7 linked regions of the Coturnix japonica genome follow. The protein of the gene in region 1 binds, or shares a complex with, the protein of each later gene. Links are inferred from orthologs where the notes say so. Each region holds a gene or a part of one and is shown in the gene's direction. Other genes may lie near its edges. The genes, in order: RBL1, LIN52, MYBL2, LIN54, CCNA2, TFDP1 and LIN9.

Region 1 (3,720 bases):
GGGCAGAGGTAACAGCACAGCTCCAGAGTACTGCATTTACTACAGGTTGGATAGACCTGAGCTTTGACCTGGCCTGTGCCTCTTACCAGCAGCATTGTGCTGCTTTGGTCTTGGCTAAAGGAAAGGTCTGTTTAATGCTCCTTGTGCTTTTGGTAAGGGCCGACTTGCTGTCGCATTGTTGAGGTGGGATGGTTTTGATTTGTTATGTAAGATGTTTCTGCTTTCTTTTCTTTTTTTTTTTTTTTATTCTTAGATCTTAAAAGGAGAATGTCTGTTGGATCTTTGCAATTTTACAGAAAATAAGTAAGTTATGGATTGCGGTTCTAATCATGGACTTGGGTTTTGTTTCTTCAGTTTCTCTGAATGCTAACTCTCACTTTTTCCATGTCTTACTTTGTCTCACTGCTTGCGGTGATTTGAGAACCAATGCTGTTACTTGCCTAAATGCCTCCTGGGTCTGAGATGGCTCCAGTGTCAGAGGGTGAGCTACAGAGTTTCTTCCTTAATGTCAGGTCACAGAAAGGTGCTCAGGCCTGGAGCAGCTGCTCAGGTCAGGGCAGAGCTCCCCATCCCTACCGGAATATTGCAGTTGTGTGGATGTGGTTTAGTGGTGGGCTCATAGTGCTGCCTGAGGATAGAATTTGATCTTTAGGGTCTTTTTCCAGCATAGATAACGCTGTGTTGTTCTGGCAGCTGTTAAGTTTTGTGTAGTCTGATGCAAATCAAAGCTCTGAAGTGCATGGATATGTTAACTATGCATACCTCAATATTTGTATGTGAATAGGGAGGTATTTAGGGTTGTTTATTAGTCTCCAGTTCAGTGCCTAAATCTGTGAATGCAGTGGGAGAGCTCAAAAGAAAGAGGAGCAACAGCTGCAGAACCACAAAAAAGCACAGAGGTTTCAGGGGAGGTAAGTGAATCTGTGCAGGAGCTTCTGACATTAAGTCTCAAAACTAATTTAAATGAGAAGATTTGTTCTGTTTTGTTCTGGATCCTGTCAAGAGCTTCTTCCTCTGCCAAACGCAGCTGATAATTCATTATTGCAGGGTGAGGTTTGAGCTGGTCTGTTTGCTTTCTGAGAAGCGTGAGCAGTGACTGCACCGCTGTAACGGTGTGGATCGCATTCAGATGTGGAGGTGCTGCCCTGATCCCTATGGAGCAGTGAGCTGTGCTAGTGTTCCTGCTTAAAGAGTGATAGTATTGATAGTTCCTGTTGTGCCAAATAAGGCAGTGTTCCCTATTCTTTATTAAATGATATCTGAGGAAACCAATCTATGTCTGCCCAAACAGAAGGCTCCGCAGCCTTTGAGAGGTTAAATGTTCCTCTTCCACGCACAGGTTGGCTGGAATTGAGAAACCAAAGGGGTTGTTCACTATCATGGATGTCAGTGGCGACTTGGGGCATTGAAGCTTCAATTTCCCTTCCTCTGTGCTGTTGAGGGAGGATGCCACTGAGCGCCAGGCAGCCAAATCAGAGCTCAGAATTAGTTCACTTAATGCAACCCCTGCTGCTCTGCTTGGACAGAGCTTTAACTACTGATGGGCTCTTTCAAAGCTGTTTGTCCCTGGGGTAGAAGCACGTTTTCTCCCTGTGTGAGCCCAGTGACTTATAATCAGGATGAGTTTTTTGTTCAGTGAGTTTTCACAGTGGGACATATTGGAGTTCAACTCATTTAAGTTGTTCGTGGTGAAGAAATCAGAATCTGCTAGGAAACTTGAGCAGCAGCAGGGACCTGGCAGATACAACACTACCTGATGTTAATGGAGCTCAGTCAGCCTGCAGTTGTTTTGATTTGGGAATTTCTGTCAACATTTTATATCCTGCACTTAGACTTCTCCTGTGCCATGGAGGCAGCTCCATTCACATCTAGATTCCCTTCCTTTTGAAGGACTTGCCCTCCATCTCACAGGTGTCTCCAAGTTCTGTTCCAAAAACAAGTGTCATCTCACTGCATGGGCACAGCACCTTCACATGCAATTCAGAACCCAACCTGTGCAATCATCTGACTTCCCTGAATACCAGCACTGGTACAGTACATCTCTTTCCATTCCCAGTCCAGAGTGATTCCATTTTCTTTACACATTACTATGAAATTTTCTATCTGTTCACTTTGCAGCACAGAGGGGAATGGGTACAAGAAGGGAATTGGGAAAAAGGCTTTGGCAGCCTTAGAGTGAGTCACCAAGTACCTCATGGTCCCACATTCCATGTTTATCTACTAGGTTTTCAAAACATTTGGGAGGATTTCTCCTGTTTCCACACAGTAGAGAGCATGGAACTAATTTAATGCTAATTATCATCTAAGAAAGGCAGTTCTTTTTTCTACTTCCTTAGGAAAGAATAAGGGAAATGTAAGATTTCTGAAGATGTCCATGTTAATGGTGTTTGAAGCACATGCATCTTCATTTGGCAGGTTTCAATCTAAAATTTCTGGATCAGCAGATGGGAAAATTGTCCAGAAAAGCATGATTCTCTAGATAGATAGATAGGTAGATAGTGTGTGAAGTAATTCAACTGTGGAGCCTGCTGCCATGATTTCAGCAGTGTCTGAGATTAGTGCACTGTGTGGGCATCCCTGCCCATGGTGGGAGCAGCTTGGAACAAGGCGATCTTTAAGGTCCCTTCCAACCTGATCCATTCTATGGTTCCATGAAGCACTGGTGGGAGAAGAACAGGCCGTGCAGTGCACTGCTGTGGGAAGCCTGGAGCTGAAGGCAGCCAAGGAGGGGCTGTAAGCAGGCTGCTCGTGTAGGGAAGCTCCATGTACAAGCACTGCTGTTACTGAGAGCATTAGAAGCTTTGAGTTTGTGTTGGCTTCAGTTTATGTGTTTGTTCAGCAGCTTAACTTTCACTGTAAAACTTTGACTTCTCTTCCAGCAAAGCATTGAATAAAGAATATGAGGAGTATGTTCTAACAGTGGGTGACTTTGACGAGAGAGTTTTCCTTGGAGCGGATGCAGAGGAAGAAATTGGAACTCCTCGAAAGTTTCCTGCAGATTTGCAAATGGGGAAAACAGCAGCAAGAGCTCACGTGGAGTGTCACCTTCAGCAGCACTTTGAAAAGGTGGTTCGTGGAACTTGTTTTCATGGGGAAGTACTCCTAAGTTTGGAGTCAAGTTTTCCTATCATTGTACGCAGTTTAAATCCCTGAGCCGACTTGGAAAAGCTGCTTTCCTTGGGTGGTTCACTGGGATGAAGGAGGTGAAAGACATTTGTAGGTTTAATCGGGCAGTCTTGCTAAGAGAAATTGTGGTGTCATCTTTGTTACGTAATGCAGTAAATAACTGCTCCTTAAGCAGGGTGGGAGCCTGTGAACTACTGCTGTTTTGTCCAGGAGAAATGTCTAGGTAGTTGAGACCTCCATACACAGAGTTATTTCGTGCTTCTTTTATACCCAGTAAGAATACCATGAAACCTTTCATAGGGCAAATGAGGGCAATGATAGAGCCTTTATTTGAGAAATGGGCGCTATAGGAAAAGATATCAGAAGGAATTAACTCACACCTCCCAGTAACAGCTTGGAGAAAGGGAGCCCAGCATTAGGAGGAGGAACTCGTTATTCTGAAGTTCTGAGGGCGTGGATTTGGCAGCCTTCCTTGGCAGAGTTTTAATGGTGCTATTTAAATCTTAGAAGTGATTTTGCAGGAGTTGCTCTTTTTGCACCAATTCTCTTAGATTTTTTTATTGATTATCCATCTCTCTCACAGAAAAGGTCATT
Region 2 (4,339 bases), on another chromosome or scaffold:
GAAAAATAGTTAAGAAAAGTCTTAAGCTCCAACTCTAAGCTTTCTCCAGAAGCACACATACTTCCCCCTTTCATCGAGTGATTCAAGGAAATCACAGCATCCTCTTGCACACCGATTGTGGGTATATGAGCAGAAGCCATTTCACTTACAGGATTGTGGATATCAATCCATTCTGTGGTTTTGGACTCGACAAACTTCCCATCGATGAACAGTTTAGTTGTTGGCTGTGGAGGACAGCACAGTGAGTGATCTTTCCCTGAAAGTGCACACATAACAATGTGCCCTGTTATGTGCAGGCTTTTGCTATTTCCCACTGTACTCCATCATTTTTTTCCCCTTGATTTAGGCTAAAATTGTCAAAACCCCGTCTAAAAACTATTACAGAAGATACACATTGATAGAATCATGTTCAGAACTATTTTAATCTACTCAGTCACTACAATTGCTAAGTCATAAAAACCCTGCAGTTCACAGACATATTTAAAAGAAACCAGTTAATAATTCACTTGGTAAGAATTCTGCCCATTAGTTAAGGAGTTCAGGTAAGTATGGAGAAGAAAAAGCAGGGGTAGAAGATGCAGTTAGTGCTGCAACATGCAGGAAGAACTGGGGCCATATAAGTGAAGAGATTGGAATATAGTGCCAAAGGCTTTGCTGAAGTCTAGGTAGACTGTGCCAACAGCCTTTCCCTCATCCACCGGGCAGTTCACCTGGTGAGGGCAGGGATGCTAATGCTGCTGTGATGGTGGGAGAGGGATCAAAGGACGAATCAGGAAAATAAATGGGGCTGAGCCGGACAGGTCACGGCTGCGAAGAGTGTAATGGATAAGCGAGGCCTCGGCTTGTGAAGGAACGCGGCGGTGGGTTAAAATAAGAATAAGACATGACAAGTGCTGATGTGGCTGGCGTTACGGCGGGACGAGCCGTGCCGCGGGCTGCACTCGGGATAACACCATCTTCAGAACTGAAGGGAGAGCAGGAAATCCGAGCTGCTCCTCGGCCCGGCGGAGCCACCGCCGCGGGCCCCTCCAGCCCAACAGCAAACAGAGCTGCCCGGCCCCACTCACCACGGAGGAGGAGGAGACGGCGGCCGAAGCGATCCAGGGAGCCCCGGCTGTCCGCGGCAGCTGGATGTGGACACAGAGCAGCCCGGTTACACGGTGCTCCCCTCCTCCTCCACACCCCCCACCTCCTCCCCACCGCCCCCCGAGGTGCCACCCGCGGCCCCTCCCGCAGCGCTGTGTCCGTGTGCCGCCTCACCCTGAGCACCACGCGCCGCCCGCCCCAAGCGCCACGAGCCACCGCCGCCATCCCGGCCGAGGGTCACAGCGCTCGGACCCCGAGCGGAGCCCCCAGCACAGGGACCCGCCCCCGCCCGCTCATTGGCCAGACGAGCGCCCCCCCCGCCCGCTGTACGCCCCCCCCGAGGGGGCCTTGCCGGCCGCCAGCCAATCGCTGCCAGGGAGAGCGTCGCCCCGCCCCTTTCCCGCCACCGCCCCCCCATCCGGGGCAGCGATTGGCCACGAGCACTAAGGCGCTCGGGCTCTGTTGTCACGTGGGTGGATTCCCGCGGGCTGTGGGTTTAGGTCACGTGACGCAGGCAAGATGGCGGCTCCCGGTGACGGTAAGGCGCGCGAATGGGGTCATCGTCACCCTGCGGTACGGTCTGAGCGGGCGCCGCTTCACCTCCGTTCTACTCCCTGTGCTGTAGGTGCCGATCTGGAAGCCTCTCTGCTGAGCTTCGAGAAGCTCGACCGGGCTTCTCCGGACCTGTGGCCTGAGCAGTGTGAGTGAGTGCGGCGGGCCCGTGTCGCTGGGGTGATGGCGGGGCTGCCGGGCCGGCCCCGCGCTCACCCGGCGCTGTTCGGTTCTCTCTTGCAGTGCCCGGCGTCGCCGAGTTCGCCGCCTCCTTCAAAAGCGTAAGATGCCAACACCACGGCACTGCGGGTCATACAGGCACTGCGGGAGGGACGAGCTGCGCAGGAACGCGCTGCTCTAAGCCCTGGGGGTGCTGCTCTTACTGCTGGCTTTGGCTGTGACTTGCAGTAACACCCAACTCGTCCAGGAAGAGCTTTCTAGGCATTAGAGTAGCCCTGTAGGGTGCCTGGAGCCATCGCGTTTATTCTTTCAGTGTAACTGGTTGTAAATAGGTGACGGAGCACTGGAACAGGCTGCACAGGGAGGTGGTGGAGTCTCCTTCTTTGGAGATATTCAAGACCCGCCTGGACACCTACCTGTGTGACATGGTGTAGGGAGCCTGCTTTGGCAGGGGGGTTGGACTCGATGATCTCTAGAGGTCCCTTCCAACCCCTACAATTCTGTGTGTGTAAATGCTATATCAGGCTTTGTATGCAGCTAAAAATGTACTTCTCTGAGAATGTTTTGCTTTTTTTTCTTCCTTTCTTTTTGTTCTTTTTCTTTTTCCTCCCCCCCAAACCAGCCTATTACAAGCTCGCCTCCCAAATGGATGGCTGAACTGGAGAATGATGATATCGATATGTTAAAGGGTGAGTATGGGCTCCATGGGCACTGAGGCTGTCTGCGGGTGGGAATTCAGTGCCTACTAAAAAGATGAGCTCAGAGACCTTCTGAAGCCTTGTGGAAAGGAAGGGATGGGGGATGCTCCTCTTAATCTGCAGACCATCTTAACCTGCAGAACATCTCCAGTTGAATGATTCTGCTTAGGAGTCTTTGTCTTGTCAATTGCCTCTATCTTTAGTTGGTCCCACAAGAATATATACTGATAACAAAAATGCTGTTGTTCTCCTTGTTACTGCTTTTTGAAGCAGTAAATCCCTGCTGTTTATTTTTTCTTCATTTTTTTTGATTGCTTTGGAACAGTTAGAATGTCTTGCTGGTTATTATGAGTTGTGAGAGCTGAAGAACATATGCTGTACACTGTAAACCGATACTGTTCAAAGTATAACTTGAATGCTCTGTGAAGCGATAAACATAAGCTGCCACTAGAGGGCTACAGTGTTAAAAATCACGCTTTTTCCTTTTAGAGCTGGGAAGCCTCACTACAGCCAACCTGATGGAAAAGGTTCGTGGCCTGCAGAATTTGGCATATCAGCTGGGACTGGATGAATGTGAGTTCTGTGCACAGATGTGATGACTGTATTATGAATCTTGCCACTGAAGTGTGTGTTTATGTTGCACTTACAGTCAGAAAAGTACGTTTGCTGAAGTGGGGAATGTCACACAATTATGACAGTGCAATAGAGAATTTTCTGAAGAAAAAAAGAGTGCTGCTCTAAGCAAGTCTATCATGGATGCAGTGGAGCCTAATAGAGCACATTTAAAAGAATTTCTTATTTTAGGTCTTGTTTTCTGTTTTGAATGCTAAGGTCCAGTGTTTTCTAGTGGCCCATCAATTTCTGACTTAACTTTGGCTTAGGTAAATCACTCAGTTTGCTTCATTTACCGCTTAGGTGCTAACACTCTGTCACAGAGTATCTGTGCCACCACTTCTGTGACTGTGCGTTTGTGTACTGCCTACAGAGTGAAAATGTAACTGGTGTGCAGGATTCTGTTAGCCATTAGTGCTCTTGTAACTTTGGGCTTCTGCAGTTATTTATTTTCCATAGTCAGCTATAGCAGGAGGTGCTGTCACTGCATTCTAAAGTTGACCTTCATCCTGCTTACCAACAACCAATTTATGTCAGTGCCTTTTTTGAAGGGGGGTGGGGGTGGGAGTGGGGGTGGGGATGGGGGGAAGATGCGTTTTTTTTATTGTCATTGCATATAGGATTTTGTTGTTAATGTGCTGATCCGGCTTTGAAGATTCCAAAGGGATTGTGCTTCCTTTAAACAGTATCTGTGTGTACTGATGCATTTAACTTTTACTGCTTTATTTTGCTCTGTCTTAGACTTCAGTTTTAGCAAACTCTTGAGCTTTACATGAGGCTTTGAAAATTTTTAGGCTCAAAGATTTTTTTCAGCTTTATTTCAGTGGGTAACAAAAAGCAGTTGAACTTTGAAGTCTCGTGATTGTGAGCCTGGAATACATATTTCTTATCAATAGATCATTAAGCCTGTTTGAACACTCTCTCCATAGGTAGAAATTTACTTTCAGTGCCAACATCTACAAGGATTGAATAAAGCTTTTAGTGGAGTAGAAGTTATACTTTAACAATGGAAATCTTAATCAAATAATAAGATTGGCTGGTGGTTTGCTTTCTCGATTTATATAACGTCTCACTGTATTTGCAATTTATTTTCACCAAAGTCTATCTCTGTAACACATTGAGTGCTTTGTGTGTCATGACGTATACATGTATGTTAGGAAATCTTCCATATATAATTAAATGCTGAGTTTGACATGGGCTCTCAGCACTGT
Region 3 (3,720 bases), about 2.5 Mb from region 1:
AGTGCCTGCTATGAGGAGGGAGCACTGCTGTGCAGATCTGCACCTGCCTACTGCAGGAGAGAGCACAGTGCTTCCTTGTCCAGGGTGCTGTGTGTGGGCATTACTGGCAGGGGATAGCAGTGCTGTGACAGTGCATGTTGCTTTTCTTCCTTATTTTTAGCACTGTCATCTGTGTGGACAGCATCTGCTGGTGCACATCTGTGAGTTGATGGCACAGGGATGTACTCATGGGCCTTGTCTTTGTTATGTAAGCTTAGGTCTTTCCCATCTTTACTATGACTGTGGTAGCATCCATACCTGGTCTCACAACAAATGCCTTACTGCAGTGCTATGGCATTCAGACCCCTTGATTCCTATCTTGACACAGTGAAGTTCTGTCAGTAAGACAGGATAAATCCTGCTGCACTTCTGTGCCATCTAGCAAAACTTCTACAGCTTCTCTGTCATTCACACTCTGCCTCCCTGTGCCACTAGCTGAACCTTCCAGGACTTTATATTTCTGGTGTTTCTGCTGTCCTCGGTGGAACGTGGTAGAACACCATAGGGCTGTGATACCCAGGTTCAAATCAACCTTGAATACGAGGCCATCAAGAACTGGGGAATTAAAGTGAGACCTGAATAGTACAGTTCTGCCATGAGAAGCTGAGATGCCTGGAATTAATCTGAGAACATAGGAAGTTCCATATGAGTATGAGGAAAATATTTTCTCTATGAAACATGCTGCCCACAGGAGTTGTAGACTCTCCTTCAAAATCTGTCTGGGTGCTTTCTTGTGTAATCTACTGTAAAGAACCCACTTTAGCCACTGGACACCATGTTGGGAAGTTTGAGACTGACTGTTTTCCTCTTTCTTACCTATGTTACGCAGTTCTTAAACTTTTGGACCAAACAGGATACACTAGAACTGGAGAACCCATCTCTTACCTCCACACCTGTGTGCAGTCAGAAGGTGATTGTCACCACCCCTCTGCACAGGGACAAGACTCCTCTGCTCCAGAAAAACTCAGCGTAAGTCCTGTATTTCTTCTTTCCCATCCCAACCTGAGCATTGTCCTTTTTCACACAGGAGTTTGATTCAAGACAAACAAACGTTCCCCATTGCTGGCACTACTGAGAGTGACAAGGCAGGCTGGGGAATTTCCTTAAATCAATGTGGCACCCAAAGACAGCTCCTCTGTGAGCTGCAGGGAACAAGTGTCCCATCTGGCTGGGACCTCAGCCAAATGACTGCTGTTGTGCTCAGCTGTGTGGTCAGCTGCTGCCTTCCGTGCGCATCTTTGGGAAGCATTGCCATGCTGTGAGCCCTCTGCCAGCTGCAAAGAGATTTGGTCTTTTCAACAAGGGCTGTTCAGGTCCCCTTCCCTTTAGCTCTGCACCCTCTGAACTGTGGGACAGTCCAGGGCAATGATCTTGAGGCACCATCCCAGCCCAGTGAGAGAGGGTGTCCTGCACAGGGAGTGTTCTGCTGGCTGGCCTATCTCTGCATGTCACTATACTGTTGCAACACAGTTTGTGGAGGTGCTGGCTGTGCTAGAAAAACTGGTGTGGGCCCAGGGCAGCAACCACATCCCATTGGTGTGAACTGGCTTGGATGCTCCAAGTGTAATTGCACCAGGATTTCCACTGGTCACAAAGCTCTGGCTGGCCATGAGGAACTCTGCTAGCAGAAGCACTGCAAAGTAGCGCTGGCCTGCAGGGATCTGTCATGCCAGTATTGCAGGTGTTGTACAACTTTCTGATAAGGGTGCTTGGTAGCTGGCAGAGTGGAGAAGCATAGCTGGTATTTCTAAGATATTTTCCTTACTGAAGGTTCCTTGGTAGCCTTTGGCCCTTCATACGTCCCAGGAATGCCCCAGCCAGACATATGGCTTCTGCAGTCACCATGTGAGACTCTGCGGGTGGTTTGTGTAGTGTGAGTGGAAGGATGGGGTTTGCTTTGTGATTTACAGCATATCTGATTCTTAGTTTTTTTTACTTCTCTACTGCCAGGTTTGTCACACCAGATCAGAAATATGTGGTGGACAATACTCCACACACCCCAACACCTTTCAAAAATGCCCTGGAAAAATATGGACCAATTAGGCCTTTGGTACGTACTGGACAGGTCTGTTGCTTGCTGATGGCTTTGCATGGGGTAGATTGCAGCAGAGCTGTGAGCCAGCCATTATTTGAGTAGCAACATGGTTCAGTTTTGGTAATGCTGGGCTGAGATAAGGGGGATGGAGACCTTGTCATACCAAGTGTGTCATGGTAAGTAGCTACAGGACTTCTAGCTCCTTGGCAAAGGAGCAAAGAAAAAACTCCAAACCCAAAACAGCTTTTGAATATGGCCTCAGTGCTTGGTTATTTGTGACCTTGAGGGAAAGCAAGGAAACATTACATCCCTAAATCTCTAACGAGGACTTAATATGGGGGGATAGCAGTGTCAAGTATACTGTGCCTTCAGTACACAATGGCACATCTGGGGTACAGCTGGTAAGAGTCTCCCTTGCCTGGAGATCCTGTCAATCTGTCAAGCTAACAGAAATACATCTTTTCCTGCTGGGAAGTAAATAATTTGTAATGTTTGTCTTCCCACTGTTAGCTCCTGTGGGTTACCCTGGCCCCATTATCCACTGAGGGAATTCTAAGTCTGCCTGATGTACAAACTGTGACAGTCTTGTGCTCTTTCTCCTTCCTTGCATCAGCCCCAGACTCCTCACCTGGAAGAAGACTTGAAAGAGGTGCTCCGAAGTGAAGCTGGCATTGAACTTATTATTGAGGATGACGTGAAGCCTGAGAAACAGAAAAGGAAACAAGGGGTGAAGTGGTTTCGCTTTCAGTATCTGTTTTTGGGCTGCCCTGTGCTGTTGAGAGCTGCTTTTGCTGGCTCTGTTCATCCTACTATTTATGCCAAAAAGTTTTTCAGTGTGTTGTTGTTGCCTTTTAGTGAGTGAATCTGCTTGTATGCCTGAGGCCTGCTTAAAATACTGCCAGCTGTGGCCTGGTTTATGCAGAACTCAGGGCTGTGCCAAGAGATGCTGTCTCCCTAACATGCAAGGAAAGACTTAGGGCAGTCCTCCAACATTTGTGGCAAGTTGGGCTCCACGGGCCCAAAAGTCTCTTGGCTCTGTATGCCCAGGTGATGTGATGTTCCCCTCCTGCTGGAAGGAGTTTCCCCTTCTAAATCAGTGTCTCTTAGTGCCAGTGTGGGGAACACTAGACGCTGCTGTGCCCTGTGGTGGGGAAGGAGGCAATGTGTCTTTTTGAGGTGCTAGTGCAATGCAGATACAGGGGGGTTTGTGGGCTTGGAATGCACCCTTGGCCCTTAAGATGGGAATTCACTGAGTTGATTCATACTCACACTTGTATTTGTGTTCACCAGTTGCGTAGGAGTCCCATTAAGAAGGTCCGGAAGTCACTGGCGCTGGATATCGTGGATGAAGATATGACACAAAATATGCCAGCCCTCCCCAAAACTATCTGTTTCAAAAGAACCCAGGTGAGGAGTGCTGCAGTCAGAGCAGGGGTAGAACTGACTGTAGCAGGGCTGAGAGGCAAACTTAGCTGCTGAGATGTGTGTTGTGCTAGCACCACTACTGCTTTCATTTTCTGTCTTTAGCAAGTATGGGACCTTTAGCCCTTCAAAACAGCAGAAATAGGTTTTGTTTTAACACTAGCAATCAAGGGCTGTGGGATCCAGAGTTCAAGAATGGTGTAGGGGCTGTAGGTTGAGTCACG
Region 4 (3,720 bases), on another chromosome or scaffold:
CATTTACCACCTTGTGGCAGAGGCACTAAGAATACAAGAAATAAGTTTATTTATCTGCATTGCTTCTTGGGTATATTTCAATTCATTACAGTTATGTTACTAAAAGAAACTAAGACTGACCTTTTTTTAAATGGAACAGCACATAATTATGCAATCCAAAATTAAATCATTTGAAATAGTATATTGATACTAAATTGATTTTTTTTTTCCATTGCCTGATTTAGATGATTCTCTTATTTTCAAGTATATGAGCATATGTATTTGTGGTTGACTTTAAGAACCTAACATCTGGATCCAAGCCCTTTCTTCCTTTCAGGATAAGAATGACATGTTTGGTTTTTTTTTTATATGCAGAATAGCCCTGAATTGTAAGGTTTAAGGCACAGTCCTGTTTAGTTTGAAGGGAAAATAAAACAGCACAACCCAAAAAAGTGTTAGTAGGCTTAGCATATGCAAAAATAATCCACTACTCCTATTCCATTTTTTTTGTTACCTTGTACACAGTTAACCACTTTGACTCCGAGACAGCAACATGATACTAACATTACTGGTGTGTCCTTAGGTGTAAGGTGTTGTGTCTAGTGCTAGTTATGAGGGTTGGCATTAATTAAGGCTGTTCTGGCATTACTTTGGGATAAACACTCTCTAAGAGGAGGTATTTCTGGCTGTGACATCAGAAAACAGACATCTAAATGTCTGCCAATAAGTGAGCTGTGTATGCGTTTGACTGTAGGTTGTCTGAACAAGTTCTTACACAGCTGAAGATGCTTGAATATCAGTTAGCAGTGTGATACAGCTTGTACTCAGGAGCTGAGTGGAACTAGGATGGTATCCACTGAGATCAGTAGGGCCCAGTGACTAGTATAATGTGGCCTTCTAAGCTCAACGTATAAACAAGGTAGACTGTAGCAGGTTGGTTTTCCCTCATCCTTCTACTTCATGGGTGAAATGCAGCGGTTCTATGGTTACCTACCACCCTGTAAAATCCAACCACAATGACCCCAGATGAGTCAGTTGTTACCCCAGCATTTAGTATGTTTTTTTTAGCAATATAGTTTCTTAATTACATATGTCACCTAGTTACATTCAAATTGTCTGCTTTTCCTAGAAATAAGGAAGCTGGATACACGAGGATCTTGTCCTCTTGCACTTATCAGAAGTACTCAAGATTGTGGAGTGTGTGCCACCTACTCTCCCATGTAGTATCCAAGCATACTGATGGGGTCAGCAAATGAAGGAAGTGCTGTAATAAGTGCATCTGTTTTTAGTCTGACAGTGATGCAGTTTTAGTGAAAGTGATAAGTGAAGCTGTTTCCAGCAATGTCTTCAAGGTTTGTCATGTAAAACTTAATGTAGATAAGTTGGGCGTTCATACTAATCCACTGAAAAATAGGGATGAGTTTTGCCTTGGTCTCAAAAGTAGCCTGTCGATTGAGCTTCTGGGGCTAAAAAAGCCTCTCACAGAGACAGCTGTTTGCTTGCATGAGACTTCTGAAACGAGAAAACAACAGTGAACCCCTGTTGCATCTAGAGTGGAAAACAAGTCTCCGAGGCAAAGCACCCTACTAGTAGGTGTTGATACACATGACAAAATGGGTCATCATCTTCTGGACTTGTGTAGCTTTTTACTTCTTGCTCTGTATCTCAGTATATATCTGTGTGAGCAAGGTACCCATCTTGGGGGGAGGGGAGCGCTACTTTAGGTGTACTAAATTGCCAGAGGTGGACTGGTAATCAGAAGAAAGTCGGTGCCTGTATTTATGAATGGACGATACTGAAGAGCTTTGGTGTAAATTCTTAGTGAAAGTAAACTCAGTCAAATGTGTTAGAATTTGATAGCTTTTTCTTTTTCCATGATATTCCTCCATTGCATACACACAATACTTTGTGTTTTCTGCTATTGTACGTTTTTCTTTTGATAATATTATTCATAAACCTTTGTGAAATGTGTATTATTTTTTTTTGGAAGCCACTAATTTATTTTTATTATTGTTGCAGTACCTGCTACAGTCATCACTGCCACAACTGCTAACATGGAGGTGGTTTCAGCAGAAGTAAACAGCTTGCTCCCTGAGGAAATAATGGACACTGGTATCACTCTGGTGGAAGATGACAGCATTGAGGCGGTTATCGTGTCTTCACCAATGGGAGATTCTATTCCCATGGAAACAGAACTGGAAGAAATAGTGAACATAAGCTCCACCAATGATGCTTCGGTTACGACTACAGCCACAGTCACCACAGAACCAGTTACTGCACCCAGTAATCACTCGGGCGATGTGACTGCAAGCACCACAACCATAAAAACTGAAGGAAATTCAATAGTAAAGCCTGCCTTTCAAAGTGGTCTACATAAACTTGGTGCTCAGACTCCGGTCACTATATCAGCCAATCAAATTATTCTGAACAAGACCACTGACCTTAAAATAGGCAATCAGAGCATTAAACCTGATGGGCAAAAGCTAATTGTAACAGCTTTGGGCAAGACTGGCCAACCCATTGTTTTAGCCTTGCCTCGCTGCCAGCTCCCGCAGGCGCAGAAGACTGTGTCCCAGACCCAAGGTGGAGACTCCAAGGTACAAGGCCAGCAGATCAAAGTTGTTATTGGAGGTCGGTCAGAAGTGAAACCTGTTGTTGGTGTCTCAGCTTTAACGCAAGGAAGTCAGCTGATAAATACTGCTGCCCAGCCTTCTGTTTTGCAGACACAGCAATTAAAAACAGTACAGGTAAAGTGAGTTATGCTGATGAAACCTCTTTAAAATGATTCTGTTGGTGCGACTATTGTCTGCTTCCTTCACTGGCTGACACACTGAAAGGTTGCTTTCAGCCTTTCCTTTCCTTGTATAAAAGCACAGTGCTTCTCTTAGCCCACTCTTCCATCTGTGAATGCATTTACAATTGTATGCCTTTTATCTCCCAGCTACTGTCTTGAATCTTAGGGGTCTGCCTCGGAGAAAGTTAACTATCAGAATTCATTATATTGAATTTTCCCATTGTTTTCATTTTATAAAAATAAACTCTATATGCATTCATAAGAATGAATTGAACTCTTGATGACTACCATTCTTTATTCTAAGTGCACGCTGCTTTCCCATTTCAAGAGCAACCAGCTTCTTAAATTCTTAAGCTTAGCTTGTTAGAAGTAAAGTCTCTGAAGAACCTTAATGCATTTGAGAAGGAACAAAAGCGGTGCATCTTGTCTGCCTTAAACCTGCTTAAGCTTATCAGTGTATATTGATCAGCTAGATTATATTGTAAGGTGGACACTTCTAAGTGCTATTTGCTGCCTCAGATGTAGATCTTCTGATAATTGAAAGTAGAATCTGAAGGGATCTGAAAATATGTTGAAAAGACGTGGGCTGTTAGCCAAAGGGGTCTGATATCTGATACATGGCAGAACTGAACACGAATGACTTTGTTCTAAATGGAGATGAGACACGTATCAAAAAGTCACGAAAGGAAAGCTGGGACTCAGTGGAGGTTGTAGTGGAAAATAATCATTTTTATGGTTGAGTAAAATGAGAAAGGAAGCTCCAAGTATACAAGCTAAACCAAATTTCTTGCATGTGAAAAAATGACTTTTAAGTATACTGCAGGCAGTGGTACATTCTACAGTTAGTATTCCATGTTAAGCAAGCATGAACAAGTGTGACTGTGATAGTTTGTTTTAAATCAGTAGATGATCCTTGCACCTGTTTCTGCTTTACCTCCTTTGTTGCT
Region 5 (4,246 bases), on another chromosome or scaffold:
CAGAGAGCGCAACCTGGATGCTGCTGAAGTAGTTATGAGGTCAGCACTAGTAGAGCTGAGATGATTTGATAGGCTGATACACCTCAGTAGCTTTTTACATCTGTACGTTAAGCTTGTCTTTTTTGGCAAGACTGAGGGCTGTGAGTTGGGGTGGAGCTTAAGAATGTATGTATACCTGACTGATGGAGTTCCCAGCATTGAGGTGTTACAAAATAATAGACAAATGCACATGGGGTGGAAGGGGAGGATCTTAGGAGAGGAACTAATTGAGTGAAGGAAAGTCTGTAACCTTCTGTAGAGCTCCCTGTTCAGCTTTCAGCTCAGGGGCTCCCTGTCCTCACATACAGGGCCTGCTCTGTGAGGTCAGCTCCTTCCTCCATTCAGAGACAGGCACGTGTGAGGCAGAAATAACCACGTGGAAATTAAGCTGGTTGCTGGTCGTACTGACAACAGACATTTGACTTTTGCAGGTATGATCACTGATCTCTTCATCGATAAGTTTAAATTTCGAGGCACCAACGTGAAGAGCAAAGTTCCTCTGCTGCTGGAGCTGCTGGATGGCTGCGAGCAGGACCGGCTGCTCGCCTTCTTTGAGGCCGCGTCCTGAGCGGGACAGGACGGGCAGTGTGTGCAGTGTGTGTGTGCAGAGTGTGCTGCCTATTGCCAGGGGAGGGCAGTAGGCACTGGAGTTCATATATATATATATATTAGAATGGACACTCCATATATATAGAGTGCTGCACACAGCAATCTTCACACCTCCACTGAATATACACAGACAGCTGTATCCACCGGCCTTTTTCCTGTACTTTCAGTACAGTTAGAGACGATGCAGAGGGTAGGAATGTAAGAGCGATGTTTGTAAAGTACGTTTAGGATCCTGTACCTGAAGCTGCGAGTTTGTAATTAAAGCTAATTAAAGTTCTAATCCCAGCTGTGGTGTGGTGCGCTGCGCCTGCGCGGTCACCGGGCGGGGCGGGGCCAAGCGGCGCGCGGTGTGCGCTGCGCATGCGCGTTGCGGCGCTCCGGTCCCGCCCCCCGCGCGGCTGGTGCCCGCGTGACGCCTGGCCGCTGATTGGGCGATTCAATAGTCGCGGGCTGCTCGAACGGCGGCAGCGGCTCCGGGCCGCGAGACTGCGCGGCGGCGGGACGCCGGCTCACACCCGCACACACCCGCACATCCGCGCTCCGCGGCCGCCCCCGGCCCTTTCCCCCTCGGCCGCTTCTCCCCCCCCCCGGCGGGCACCATGCTGGCGGAGCAGGAGAACCAGGAGAACGTCCCCCCGCCCGCCAAAGCCCCGCCGCCCGCCGCCGGTACCCGCGTGGCGCTGGGGCTGCTGCGGGGCGGCCCGGCGCGGCCGGGGCTCGGGCTCGGTGCGCAGGTGAGCGGCGGGGCTTTGGCGGGGGGCGGCGGGCGGGCGCCATGTTGGGGCGTTGTGCAGCTGTCAGGGCGGCTGTCACGGCGCTGACCGAGCGCTCCCGCAGGCGGCGCGGAACGGAGAGGGCCGAGGCGCGGCGGCGGGGCGGCATCAGCCCTTCAGCGTCTACGTGGACGAGCCCGACGAGGAGCCGCGGCGGCCTCAGAGGAAGAAGGAGCGGGATGAGGAGGCGGCGGACGCGCCGGGGCTGCGGGCCGCCCTCGGGACCTTGGGGGAGCGGCGGCCCCTGGCGCCCCTGGGCAACGCCATGGAGCTCAGCCTCGGTAAGCGGCGGCACTGCCCCCTCCGCGCCCGGGGCGAGCGCCCGGCCCGCGCGATGTGGTGCCGGCGGCGGGACGCGGCCTGAGGCTGAGGAACGGGGCTGGAGCGCGGGGCTCGGCTGGAGGGAAGGGGGGAGTGTGTTGGGCAGCCGGGAAAGGGCTTCCCGGCCCTTCCTTAGTGGGGACAGCGGGGCGCTTCCTCCTTGAGCCATGGTTCGGCTTCCCCAGGGCCTGCTTGGCCCCCCTGCGTGGCCTCCCGCCGGCCAACAGCATCGCGCCTGCTGCACGGGGTTCTGCCGGGCCCCTTCTAACGAGGCCTTTCTCCTAGACTCCCCGAGTATCATGGATATCTCCATAACTTCAGAAGCAGAAGAGCGACCAAACGTTAACAATGTGCCAGACTATGTCAGCGATATCCACAAGTACCTTAGGGAAATGGAGGTGAGATGCCACCCGTTCTCTTGCTCGCATATTTGGGCTGAGTGTATCTGAGGATAAGTTACTGCCACAGTGACTGAAGTAAAGCTAGGAGTAAGTCCCCCTGCTTCCTGCTGGGAGGTTGGCTGCGCTCTGCACTGAGCACAAGCCACAAAGCACATGATGCAGATGTAACTTTCTGAGTCCAGATTGACCATTGCTTATTGTGACCTGTTAAAAACAGTCTGGGTATGGTAAATGGGAGTATGAGTGACTGCTTCCCTGCAGGCACCCAATCCAAACTCAGTCTTGTCTGTCATCTGAACCCACAGGTAAAATGCAAGCCTAAAATAGGCTACATGAAGAAGCAGCCTGACATCACCAACAACATGCGAGCTATTCTGGTGGACTGGCTGGTGGAAGTTGGAGAAGAGTACAAGCTCCAGAATGAAACTCTGCACTTAGCTGTAAATTACATTGACAGGTTTCTTTCTTCAATGTCTGTTTTGAGAGGAAAGCTCCAGCTTGTGGGTACTGCGGCTATGCTGCTCGCATCGTAAGTAAAAGTTCTTGATGGAAAATAACACCTACTGGTTTCATAGTGATGGAAGTCTTGTAGCTTTCATATGATAGCCTGTAATCATATTGTTTAGTAAGGGCTTTGTAATAGGTTGAAATATACAAAAGCTTGGCAGCCCATGTGAAGCCTTGCAAGTGAGATTCCAGGTTGTCTTTGTAGATTGGCCTAATGGGAGGATTTCCAGATGTAGGAGTGAAAGGCTTCACAAGGGAATTAAGGCAATAGTAAGAAAGAGTATGAAAAAGCTATTTAGTTTTCTTCTGGAATTTCAGTAACTCTTAAGTTCTAAATTACTTAGTCCCAAAATAACAGGCTGTTGAAACTCTTTAACTTCAAATTCAGGTGATTTGAGACCTATCAACCTGAGTGCAGCAAGCTTGCTCAGTCACTGTATCCAGCTACTTTGGAAGTCAGCACACAGTTCAGCACACTGGTTTTAATGAAGTGTTGCTGGTGGCCTGGTTCTCTAGTCCCTAACTGTTTGCTTCTGTTTCTCATGGCAGGAAGTTTGAGGAAATCTACCCCCCTGAAGTAGCAGAGTTTGTCTACATCACGGATGACACCTACAACAAGAAGCAAGTTCTGAGGATGGAGCACTTAATTTTGAAGGTTTTGTCATTTGATTTGGCAGCTCCAACGATCAACCAGTTCCTCACTCAGTATTTCCTGCACCAGCAGACGAACGCTAAAGTTGAGAGCTTATCAATGGTAAGGATTACTAGCTCAGTCTGTGGAACTGTAGAGTTCTGTTGTTAATGCATTTTACAAGAGCTGTTGTATGGGAAATTGGTAATCACAGCCTGAACCTCTGGTTAATCAGCTGAGGCAAGTGTTGGGGCAGCTGTGGGAGCACAGGTGAGAGTAATTTAGCTGTGCTCCAGGAAGGGATGGAGCTTGACTCCACCTTCTCTAGACCTCATTTAAGGGCTGACCATCACTAGGGCAGCATCTCTTGGAGATTGCTCCTTGGTGGAGATTGCTCCTTGGTGGAGATTGCCTCAGCATTTCCCAGTGAAGGCATCCATATCAGTGAGTTTTTCCTCATAAATAACCTTTTGAATGTTACCATCTTTGTATCATTCCACCTTACAGCTGTATTTGTACAGACCAGTGGTAAAGGGCTTTTTAGAGTGGACTTTTCCACCTCCTAATATGTTCAAGTGTGTGATCTCTCTGGGACACATCTGAGAAGTGCTCATGATGTGCCTCTGGCTCCTCCAGAAGCAGATCTGTACTGCTGGAAGCAATAGTGTCATTGCTGCTCTTTGAGACATTCCATTACTGTTACAGTCTGGTACTTGGCCTGGCTCCACATGAATGCTTACTCAAAGCAGGCCAAGACTGCTGCATTTTAGTTTGGGGTTTGTTTCCCTGTTAGGTATTCCCTGTGTTCCTGTCTAAAATTGACACGTGCACCTGCCCTCTCACTTGGGCAGGAAGGGTTTTTATTTTTCCCCTCCACAAGCGCTGAGCTCTACATCCAGAGGCCAGTTTCTCAGCAGAGCACAAACAGTGTCTCAGCTGAAGGTTCTGTATCACAGGTACCAGAG
Region 6 (3,720 bases), on another chromosome or scaffold:
CATTTTAGAATGTCCCCAGTGTCCCAGTGACTTCATTCTATTGAACTCTTAGTGCTATTTTAATGCAAAGTCATGATCTTCTGTGAACTTGTGAGTAAAGCCTAGGGTTATCAGCATTTCTTTTAAGGAGACGATAAGAATGCTAAATAATTCTTAGACGAATCTGAAATTCTGGGCTGTGGGGTCTTCCTTAATTGTCAGTACATACTTGTTTACCTTTGAATAAGGCACTTGTGAGAGTAATTAGATTTCAAAGAGTTATTTAAAATAAAAGCAAGTAACCCCACATTGAAGAAGCTCCTTTTTGCCTGTAGGATTTATCTATTCCTCTGTGTTCTATAGAAAAACAGAATAGTCTTAACATATGATTGTTCATTATGTGAAGACTTCTCAATATTTGATAGGAATATTAGGCTTCTTAAGGATACTTACTGTATTTCTAAGGTTCTCTATCCCTCACATAGAGTATTTGCATAATACATGAACCAAGATCTGAGCCATACCCTTTATGTGAAAGCATGGGCCTTATGATATAAACATATAGCATAAAAGCAGATTATTATGAGGCTAAAATAGCTATAGTGTAGCTGTAGTTTCTCAGTAATTGAGAAGGGTACACCATTCTTTTTCTTCACTTCTAATGTACTCATACTTTGTTTTTAGCTCTGCAGTGAGAGTCTGCCTGTAGGAAACAATTCCTTGACACTGCACTGTTTTTTCTCAGCTTTTACTCATTTTCAAACCTTCTTGTTCTGTACATTTATATTTTAACAGTAATTTACTGCAACATCTTTAGATGTAGTTTGATAGGATTTTTTGTTTTGTTTGCCTTGGACCTTGTCTAAATGAGAGTTGAAGCATTGTAAGAAACCCAGTAAGCATGAAAAGCTCATTTTGGAAGGATAAAATAAAAATGATTATTGCTTAAGGAGTGATTTAACCATGTGATGTGCGGTCTGAAGGTTTTTGTGCTTGTGTGTCTAAGTTGAAGGCTTCTGTTACGAGTGTATAGAAAGTAAGCATTTTTTGGTTCTTGACTAATGTGTCATGAATAATGCAGTATCTGAACATCCTGGGATAGTTATGGTTATTTTCTAAATGATTTTTATCTTTGTTGTAGGTTATCGGTACACCTCAGAGACCTTCAGTGCCAAATACTATCCTGGTAGGAAGTCCACATACACCTAACACACATTTTGTATCACAAAACCAGACTGCAGATTCTTCGCCGTGGTCTGTTGGGTGAGCAAAATAAAAGTTACAAAGGATTAATAAATTACTTAGAACTTTTGCTCTAAATGTTTGCCGTGATAGTGTATATGCTCTTCATGCTGGCAGTGTGGGAAAGACAGTCTGTTTACCTTCAAGGGTGGAATCATACAAAAAAGACATTGGGAAGGGGAGAAGAGTAGAATAAAAGGGAAGACCTTGGACTTTTGTATCTGTGCTTGGAAAAGAGATGTTAAGTATTCCAAAAGTTCAAATCTTCTTAAAAAACATATCATATGTATGTTTAGGAAACGGAACAGAAAAGGAGAGAAGAGCGGCACAGGTTTACGTCATTTCTCTATGAAGGTTTGTGAGAAGGTACAAAGAAAAGGAACGACCTCATACAATGAGGTGGCAGACGAGCTGGTTGCAGAATTCACTACCCCTGATGATCACATTTCACCAAATGAATCAGTGAGTATATGGGAGGTTAGTTACGTGTGAACTGAGTGGGGAGGCTTAGATTTCTTCTCCCATTGCTTAATTAAACAGTTCAGATAATAACCAAGATTACACATTTGCTGTAATTTATTTTCAGACGTTTTTGTCAGGCATGTTTTTGATTAACGCTCTATGTCTACAGCAGGCTTATGACCAGAAGAATATTAGACGACGTGTCTATGATGCCTTAAATGTCCTCATGGCCATGAACATTATCTCTAAGGAGAAGAAGGAAATCAAATGGATTGGTCTACCTACAAACTCGGCTCAGGAATGTCAGAATTTAGAGGTAAATGTATAGGAAATTCACAATGGATTTGTTTTGAATAAAAACTTGGATTTGCTTTTATTCTACATGTGCATACGATCTTCTGAGATAAAAAGTAGAATAGTTTGGTCCCTTCTGACTTCCTTTTTAATTTATGTTTATGCAATATGCATCTGAATTTTCCAGATTGCTTGAATATATATATATACACACACATATATATATTGCTATTTAGTTGTATAAAATGCAGCAGATCTAATCAGTGCTTAGTACTGTGGGAATGTAAGCAGCTTCATTTGTTTAAGTATCTTTCTCTTCTCCGATAGCTCCAATATCAGCAGGGTATACTAAGTAGATCATTCTGGTCTACATGCTCCTTGCCTCCCTCCTAGAATGTGGGTAACTCTTTGAGGCATAGCTTCCACTTACAAAGATGTTTTTATGCTCTTCCTTCTATATTCTGCTTTATTCCTGGATATCTTAACTCCTCTCTTTGTTACAGTTTCCATTGGTAGTACTGATGTGAGACTTTGTAGATCTCAGCATCTTCTGCAGTGCATTAGTGACTGATGCACTTGTTGCCTTCATTTATCTGGTATTTAAACAGTTTAAGGGGAGAAAATGTTGATAGAAAACACTATTTAAAACCTACAAACTAATCAGTTTGTTCTCTGTCTTAAGGTGGAGAAACAGAGAAGACTTGAAAGAATAAAGCAAAAACAATCTCAACTACAAGAACTCATTCTACAGGTACAGTCAAGGTACTCTTGTCTATAGGGCAAGGTAACTTACATCTGCATTCCTCGTTTTGTCCCACTGGGGAATGGGAGACCTCTAAGAAGGCTAGAGATTAATTTTGGGATAAAGGTAGCACTGGGACCATGGTGTTGACTGTTGCTTATGGCAAAGGCAGCAACCTTCTATGAGCCATGATGGGTTTTTTCCTGTAGTTGTATGTTTAAAAAAAATTTGCGTTAACAGGACCAATAATTCATACTGTACTCCTCAGTATTGTACAATGAATGTTTTTCTGCAGTAGTCCTCAGATAAAATAGCTTGACTTTAACAGGTCATCTCTTGTGATGATCTTTGTCTTGCCTTTCTTGAACGTTGCTGCCCTGCCCTGTAGGTGGCTTAATTGCATTGGCACAGTTGCTAAATTGCAACTTGAGCTCCTTTCCAGATTCCACCTAGTATTTTGTAGGAAGCAGTAATCCCCTGAGTCCCTGTACTGCTGGTTCACTGTAATGTATTGTGTTATGTATTCAGTAAGAATGAGAATCAGGAAGGGCGTGCAGAAAGAAAAGGCAATTGTGGATTTGCAATTTCCACAACTATCTGATTTTTACCAGCCTCTGTTGGCTTTGTATTTTCATTTATTTATTTGAATTCCCATGTATTTCATTGTATTCCATGACCAGAAACACGCTATTTCTAGTTTGGTGGCTTAGTGTAAGATATTAATGTAAATTGGGTTTTAGTAGTTAACTAGAATAATTTCAAAGACTAACAAACAGAAGAATTAAAATACAAACAATCCATTCATGCGGAAATTGCATTCCGAGGAAATTCAAGAGTGAAGTTACAAATCCTAGCTGAACATTTCAGAAGTGTAATACTAGACATTCACATCCCAAACTTTAACTGTTAGAAGCATGTAATTTCAGCAAAGATGCAGTCTTAATAATTCAGCCGTTGTTGTGGAATATGATAGCTAAACAAAGTGGAAGTATGAAGCTGTA
Region 7 (3,720 bases), on another chromosome or scaffold:
GTCTGTTTTGTTGTCTCTGTTTCCCTGTTTCTCTTAGCTGAATGCAGGCACTTCTGATGATACCAGTGGCCAGTTTTGGATTAGGCATGCGTGTGTATAAATGAAGAAAAAATAAAGCAGGATATTAACCTGTGGACTATATTGCAATCATTTGTCACTTCATATGTGCACTAAATGCGAAGGAATTATTTAATCTTCATTTATCTTTGTTTCTATCTGTGCAGCTTGCTCCAGACCAAGGCCTCCAACCCGCAGACCAGCCAACAGATCTGAGGCGGAGGTGTGAAGAGGAGGCTCAGGAAATTGTTAGGCAAGCAAATTCCTCAACAACAGGACAGCTTTGTGTTGAAAGTGAAAATTTAACTGACCTTATCTCTAGACTTACAGCAATATTACTGCAGATTAAGGTAAAATAATAGCAAAAAATAGTGTCTCCCAATTAAGTCCACAATATTAGACCTCTGTCAGGTTCTTTGTGCTGAACTGTTAGAACATTTTTTGTTTTCTTCTCCTGCAGTGTCTAGCAGAAGGAGGTGACCTGAATTCCTTTGAGTTTAAATCACTAACAGATTCACTAAATGACATTAAGAATTCAATAGATTCCTCAAATATCAGGTACTACTACTTTGAATATTTAATTCCTAATTGCTCATTTTGTGTCAGCATGCAATCGTTCATGTCTTTTAGAGGTGAATGTGAGTATAAGTAAGGGTTTTAGTCTGGTAACTACTTGCTTATGGAAGTGGTCCCATTTAAAGGGATCTTCTTAGAGAGTACAAGATCAGCAGTTTTCTGTTTGAACCTATCAGTGAAGTAACCTGATTAAAGAAAAAAAAAGTGATAAATTGATACAGCAACAACTAAAATGGCTGAAGAGCAGGAAATTTGACAGCTGTTATTTTAGAATATTTTCTGTACAATTTCCATATTCTTCTTTTTTAATGTTAATCAGTGTCTTGTCTGTGAATATCACACACTGGCATATGAGACAATTAGAGTTTCTGCCTGGCTTCTATTAACAATATTTTAACTGGAAACAAACAAGCAAACCACAAAAGAACAGCCATATTGTGTCAGATCAAAGGCTGCTCTAGTCCACTGTCCATTTTTCAGCAGTTATCACAAGCAGGTGGGGAGGCATTATAAAAATAGCAAGTACACAGTGATACTCTTCCTGAGTGTACTGCAAACTCCAACCATTTGTGGCCATGGTTTTTTAACCATAATTGCATAGTCACTAAATTACATAATTAAAAAAAATAAAAAACAACCAAAAACTTGAAATGCTAAGCATTTCCTTATGCCCTCCACACTGGTATTGCTACATGATTGACTGATTTTTTGCAATGATAATAGAGCAGCTTTTTGATTCTAACGGAGGATTTTATAGCACTTTTCCATTTTGATTTAAATAAAAAAAAAAAAAAAAAGAAAGCAACTTCCTGTCATCAACACTGCAAGTAAATGTCAGAATGGGTTCAACTAAGGGCTGAGAAACACTGCTAAGAAGGTGACGATCTTTCCATTTCACTGTACTCAGTCTGGGTACTTTACCATCTCTTCACAATGTTTTCCTTTTATTAGCTCCAACCACTTTACAGTCATCTTTAAAGAACCCAAGTCAGTAACTTCGACTTCATGCAACTGTTTTTGTAAATGCTATTTACTAATGCAAGCTGATAACTGATAGGAATGTACTGCTGATTTATTTGACTGCTTGTACCTTGTAGAAGTACTCAGATGGAACCCTTATGTAAGATGTTTAATCCTTTTCTTTTTTTTCCTCTCTCCCTTGTAGTTGTTTTCAGAATAACGTTGAGATCCATGTTGCACACATTCAGAGTGGTCTGAGCCAGATGGGAAATTTACATGCCTTTGCAGCTAATAACACCAACAGAGACTGAAAACTTTCTTTCAAGTGTATAGCAAGTAGTTCTGGAAAATCCTCTTCATTTATATATGCTTCAACAAATACCCTAACTGCCAGAAGATAAGGGAAAAGAAGACCTCTCAGACCCTTTTAAACATATTGTATTTGCTTCTTAAGAAAACCAGCATTACTGACAAGCGTTACATTAAATTTCTCCATTTGTTATTCACATGCAGTAGTTTTGCTAACTGGTAACCTCTTAGTAATTGCATTTATTATAATAAACCTGAAAACGTACTTTCATATAATTTGAACTTAGTTTTTCAAAGTTCAAATTAATTCTGCCCACCTCTTGTTGTTGGCTCTCCTGGTAGGTTAGATAAAGTGATGAAGAGGAAATGGCTCACATCAGTAGCTATGTGGCAGTCTTTGTTCCTTAAAGCTACACTTCTCTAAGTACCTGAGATGCCACCAGCTGGCACGGTGATGGCGTGGGCTGAGTGCTCCAGGTCTAAAGAAGCAGCGGTGGGCTGCAGACGGAGAACTAAAGTTGCAGAAGATGTTGGGCAGGTCTACAGATCAGTCAGTGTCTTGTTGGAACATATAATTTATCATAACTTATATAAGAAGTCTAATGAAGGAATATAAAGATGGAACTGATACCTTTCTAAAAACAGAGTCGTTGCGGCTTTTACCCTTTATGTGGGGCAAAAAGAAATGTTTTAGATGGTATTTTATATAAATGAACGATAAAACGTACTGTTTTTCCAACTTTGGGTTTGTTTTGCACAACTTTTAAATTAGATTCCTGGTTATCTGACATACACAACATATATAAATATGAAGATTTTTATAATAAGATATAACCGGTGAGGTAAACTGCAAAGATGAAAAGTGACAACCTGCCTACGAGTACATTTTGGAATGTTAATCTTGTAAAAAGTGTGTATTTGGTTTGTTTAAATAGTCTTGTAAAGCTTCTGTGTAATGAATCGTTTCCAGATATGGATTTTCAGAGATAGCCGTAGAGTTGTTTTGGATTCCTTTAGATGCCTCATTAAATGAGGCCTTTTATATGTTAATGTATAAAGAATATGTAAACAGGATTATTTTCGATTTTAAAATTTTGTATAGTTTAAAGATGCTTCTGTATTCTGTGTTGGTATTGTGCCACTGCAAAACTTTAGTGCAGAGTTTCTATTTAGCTAAACTTGTTCTGTTAATTAAGAGAAATGCATAAATCTTTTATTCTCGGTGAAATTTGTAACTGAATAAATTGAACTTTAAGAGTTGATATATTTCACAAAAATGCAAACTTCTGGCACGTGGTTTCAGGTCATTTTTTAAGAGGAGTTAATTGCTGAAAGCGAAACACGATGACCAGGGTGACAAGGTGAGTGGCTGTTCTAAAGTACCTAGAAAACATACAAGGGGTGTGACAAAACACCAGACACTGCTTTTGCCAGAGTTAGCCACAGAGCTGTCCCTCTCATCATGTAACAGAACATGGCTGTGGCCCTTCCAGTGCTTTCATTTTGTGGTATTTGGTAAAGTGGATAGAAAGGTTCCCTACACTGCCTGTTTTCATTTAATTAGAGAGAAATGCCAGAGCCTAACTTAATAAGATACAAAGGTTCAGTCTGTTGTGATCTACTGCTGACATGGAGGGGAAAAAATCCTCTTGCAGTTTACTTTCACCCCTCCCCTCGTTCCTGGGTGCTCACTGAACCCCTGGTGCACAGTGCTGATGAGAAGCAGCTCACCTTTGTCTCCTTGTTTGCTGCCCATGTGGCTCAGTGAATTCAGTCCCTGCAGAGTGCAATGGAAAACAAGCAGCAGGGGCTGCCATC

The links.
Region 2: RBL1 (region 1) and LIN52 share a complex: the UniProt entries of both Homo sapiens proteins name them as parts of the DREAM complex. The link is inferred for Coturnix japonica from reciprocal best matches to the Homo sapiens genes RBL1 and LIN52.
Region 3: RBL1 (region 1) and MYBL2 share a complex: the UniProt entries of both Homo sapiens proteins name them as parts of the DREAM complex. The link is inferred for Coturnix japonica from reciprocal best matches to the Homo sapiens genes RBL1 and MYBL2.
Region 4: RBL1 (region 1) and LIN54 share a complex: the UniProt entries of both Homo sapiens proteins name them as parts of the DREAM complex. The link is inferred for Coturnix japonica from reciprocal best matches to the Homo sapiens genes RBL1 and LIN54.
Region 5: the proteins of RBL1 (region 1) and CCNA2 are in contact, whole or in part, in a crystal structure (PDB 1H28), measured with the Homo sapiens proteins. The link is inferred for Coturnix japonica from reciprocal best matches to the Homo sapiens genes RBL1 and CCNA2. Residues at the interface, in NP_002886.2 of Homo sapiens: Gly654, Ser655, Ala656, Lys657, Arg658, Arg659, Leu660, Phe661, Gly662, Glu663; in NP_001228.2 of Homo sapiens: Met210, Ile213, Leu214, Asp216, Trp217, Glu220, Glu224, Arg250, Gly251, Lys252, Leu253, Gln254, Tyr280, Ile281, Thr282, Asp283, Thr285, Tyr286.
Region 6: the proteins of RBL1 (region 1) and TFDP1 are in contact, whole or in part, in a crystal structure (PDB 5TUV), measured with the Homo sapiens proteins. The link is inferred for Coturnix japonica from reciprocal best matches to the Homo sapiens genes RBL1 and TFDP1. Residues at the interface, in NP_002886.2 of Homo sapiens: Tyr1004, Phe1006, Asn1007, Ser1011, Leu1014, Ile1017, Asn1018, Ile1021; in NP_009042.1 of Homo sapiens: Pro260, Phe261, Ile262, Thr290, Phe291, Glu292, Ile293, His294, Asp295, Ile297, Glu298.
Region 7: RBL1 (region 1) and LIN9 share a complex: the UniProt entries of both Homo sapiens proteins name them as parts of the DREAM complex. The link is inferred for Coturnix japonica from reciprocal best matches to the Homo sapiens genes RBL1 and LIN9.

Annotation. Positions count from the first base shown.
Region 1 is NC_029535.1:560,361-564,080, reverse strand, and holds part of RBL1 (retinoblastoma-like protein 1), read left to right. Parts: intron 1-253; coding exon 254-303; intron 304-309; exon of another isoform or gene 310-481; intron 482-488; exon of another isoform or gene 489-1,973; coding exon of another isoform or gene 1,974-2,029; intron 2,030-2,879; coding exon 2,880-3,066; intron 3,067-3,709; coding exon 3,710-3,720. UniProt on the Homo sapiens protein: Key regulator of entry into cell division. Directly involved in heterochromatin formation by maintaining overall chromatin structure and, in particular, that of constitutive heterochromatin by stabilizing histone methylation.
Region 2 is NC_029520.1:34,236,741-34,241,079, forward strand, and holds the start of LIN52 (protein lin-52 homolog), read left to right. Parts: upstream 1-1,513; 5' UTR 1,514-1,605; coding exon 1,606-1,624; intron 1,625-1,711; coding exon 1,712-1,786; intron 1,787-1,881; coding exon 1,882-1,919; intron 1,920-2,440; coding exon 2,441-2,507; intron 2,508-3,005; coding exon 3,006-3,089; intron 3,090-4,339. Other genes in the region: ALDH6A1 (methylmalonate-semialdehyde dehydrogenase [acylating], mitochondrial), read right to left, coding at 150-224, 1,068-1,127, 1,261-1,311.
Region 3 is NC_029535.1:3,097,591-3,101,310, reverse strand, and holds part of MYBL2 (myb-related protein B), read left to right. Parts: intron 1-868; coding exon 869-1,008; intron 1,009-1,989; coding exon 1,990-2,089; intron 2,090-2,687; coding exon 2,688-2,801; intron 2,802-3,364; coding exon 3,365-3,481; intron 3,482-3,720. UniProt on the Homo sapiens protein: Transcription factor involved in the regulation of cell survival, proliferation, and differentiation. Transactivates the expression of the CLU gene.
Region 4 is NC_029519.1:41,208,969-41,212,688, forward strand, and holds part of LIN54 (protein lin-54 homolog), read left to right. Parts: intron 1-1,998; 5' UTR 1,999-2,033; coding exon 2,034-2,726; intron 2,727-3,720. UniProt on the Homo sapiens protein: Component of the DREAM complex, a multiprotein complex that can both act as a transcription activator or repressor depending on the context. In G0 phase, the complex binds to more than 800 promoters and is required for repression of E2F target genes.
Region 5 is NC_029519.1:48,272,241-48,276,486, forward strand, and holds the start of CCNA2 (cyclin-A2), read left to right. Parts: upstream 1-1,232; 5' UTR 1,233-1,247; coding exon 1,248-1,382; intron 1,383-1,485; coding exon 1,486-1,702; intron 1,703-2,027; coding exon 2,028-2,140; intron 2,141-2,448; coding exon 2,449-2,672; intron 2,673-3,199; coding exon 3,200-3,404; intron 3,405-4,246. Other genes in the region: BBS7 (Bardet-Biedl syndrome 7 protein), read left to right, coding at 471-607. UniProt on the Homo sapiens protein: Cyclin which controls both the G1/S and the G2/M transition phases of the cell cycle. Functions through the formation of specific serine/threonine protein kinase holoenzyme complexes with the cyclin-dependent protein kinases CDK1 or CDK2.
Region 6 is NC_029516.1:123,705,113-123,708,832, reverse strand, and holds part of TFDP1 (transcription factor Dp-1), read left to right. Parts: intron 1-1,120; coding exon 1,121-1,242; intron 1,243-1,517; coding exon 1,518-1,683; intron 1,684-1,852; coding exon 1,853-1,999; intron 2,000-2,659; coding exon 2,660-2,728; intron 2,729-3,720. UniProt on the Homo sapiens protein: Can stimulate E2F-dependent transcription.
Region 7 is NC_029518.1:14,868,712-14,872,431, forward strand, and holds the end of LIN9 (protein lin-9 homolog), read left to right. Parts: intron 1-224; coding exon 225-407; intron 408-517; coding exon 518-615; intron 616-1,798; coding exon 1,799-1,904; 3' UTR 1,905-3,185; downstream 3,186-3,720. UniProt on the Homo sapiens protein: Acts as a tumor suppressor. Inhibits DNA synthesis. Its ability to inhibit oncogenic transformation is mediated through its association with RB1. Plays a role in the expression of genes required for the G1/S transition.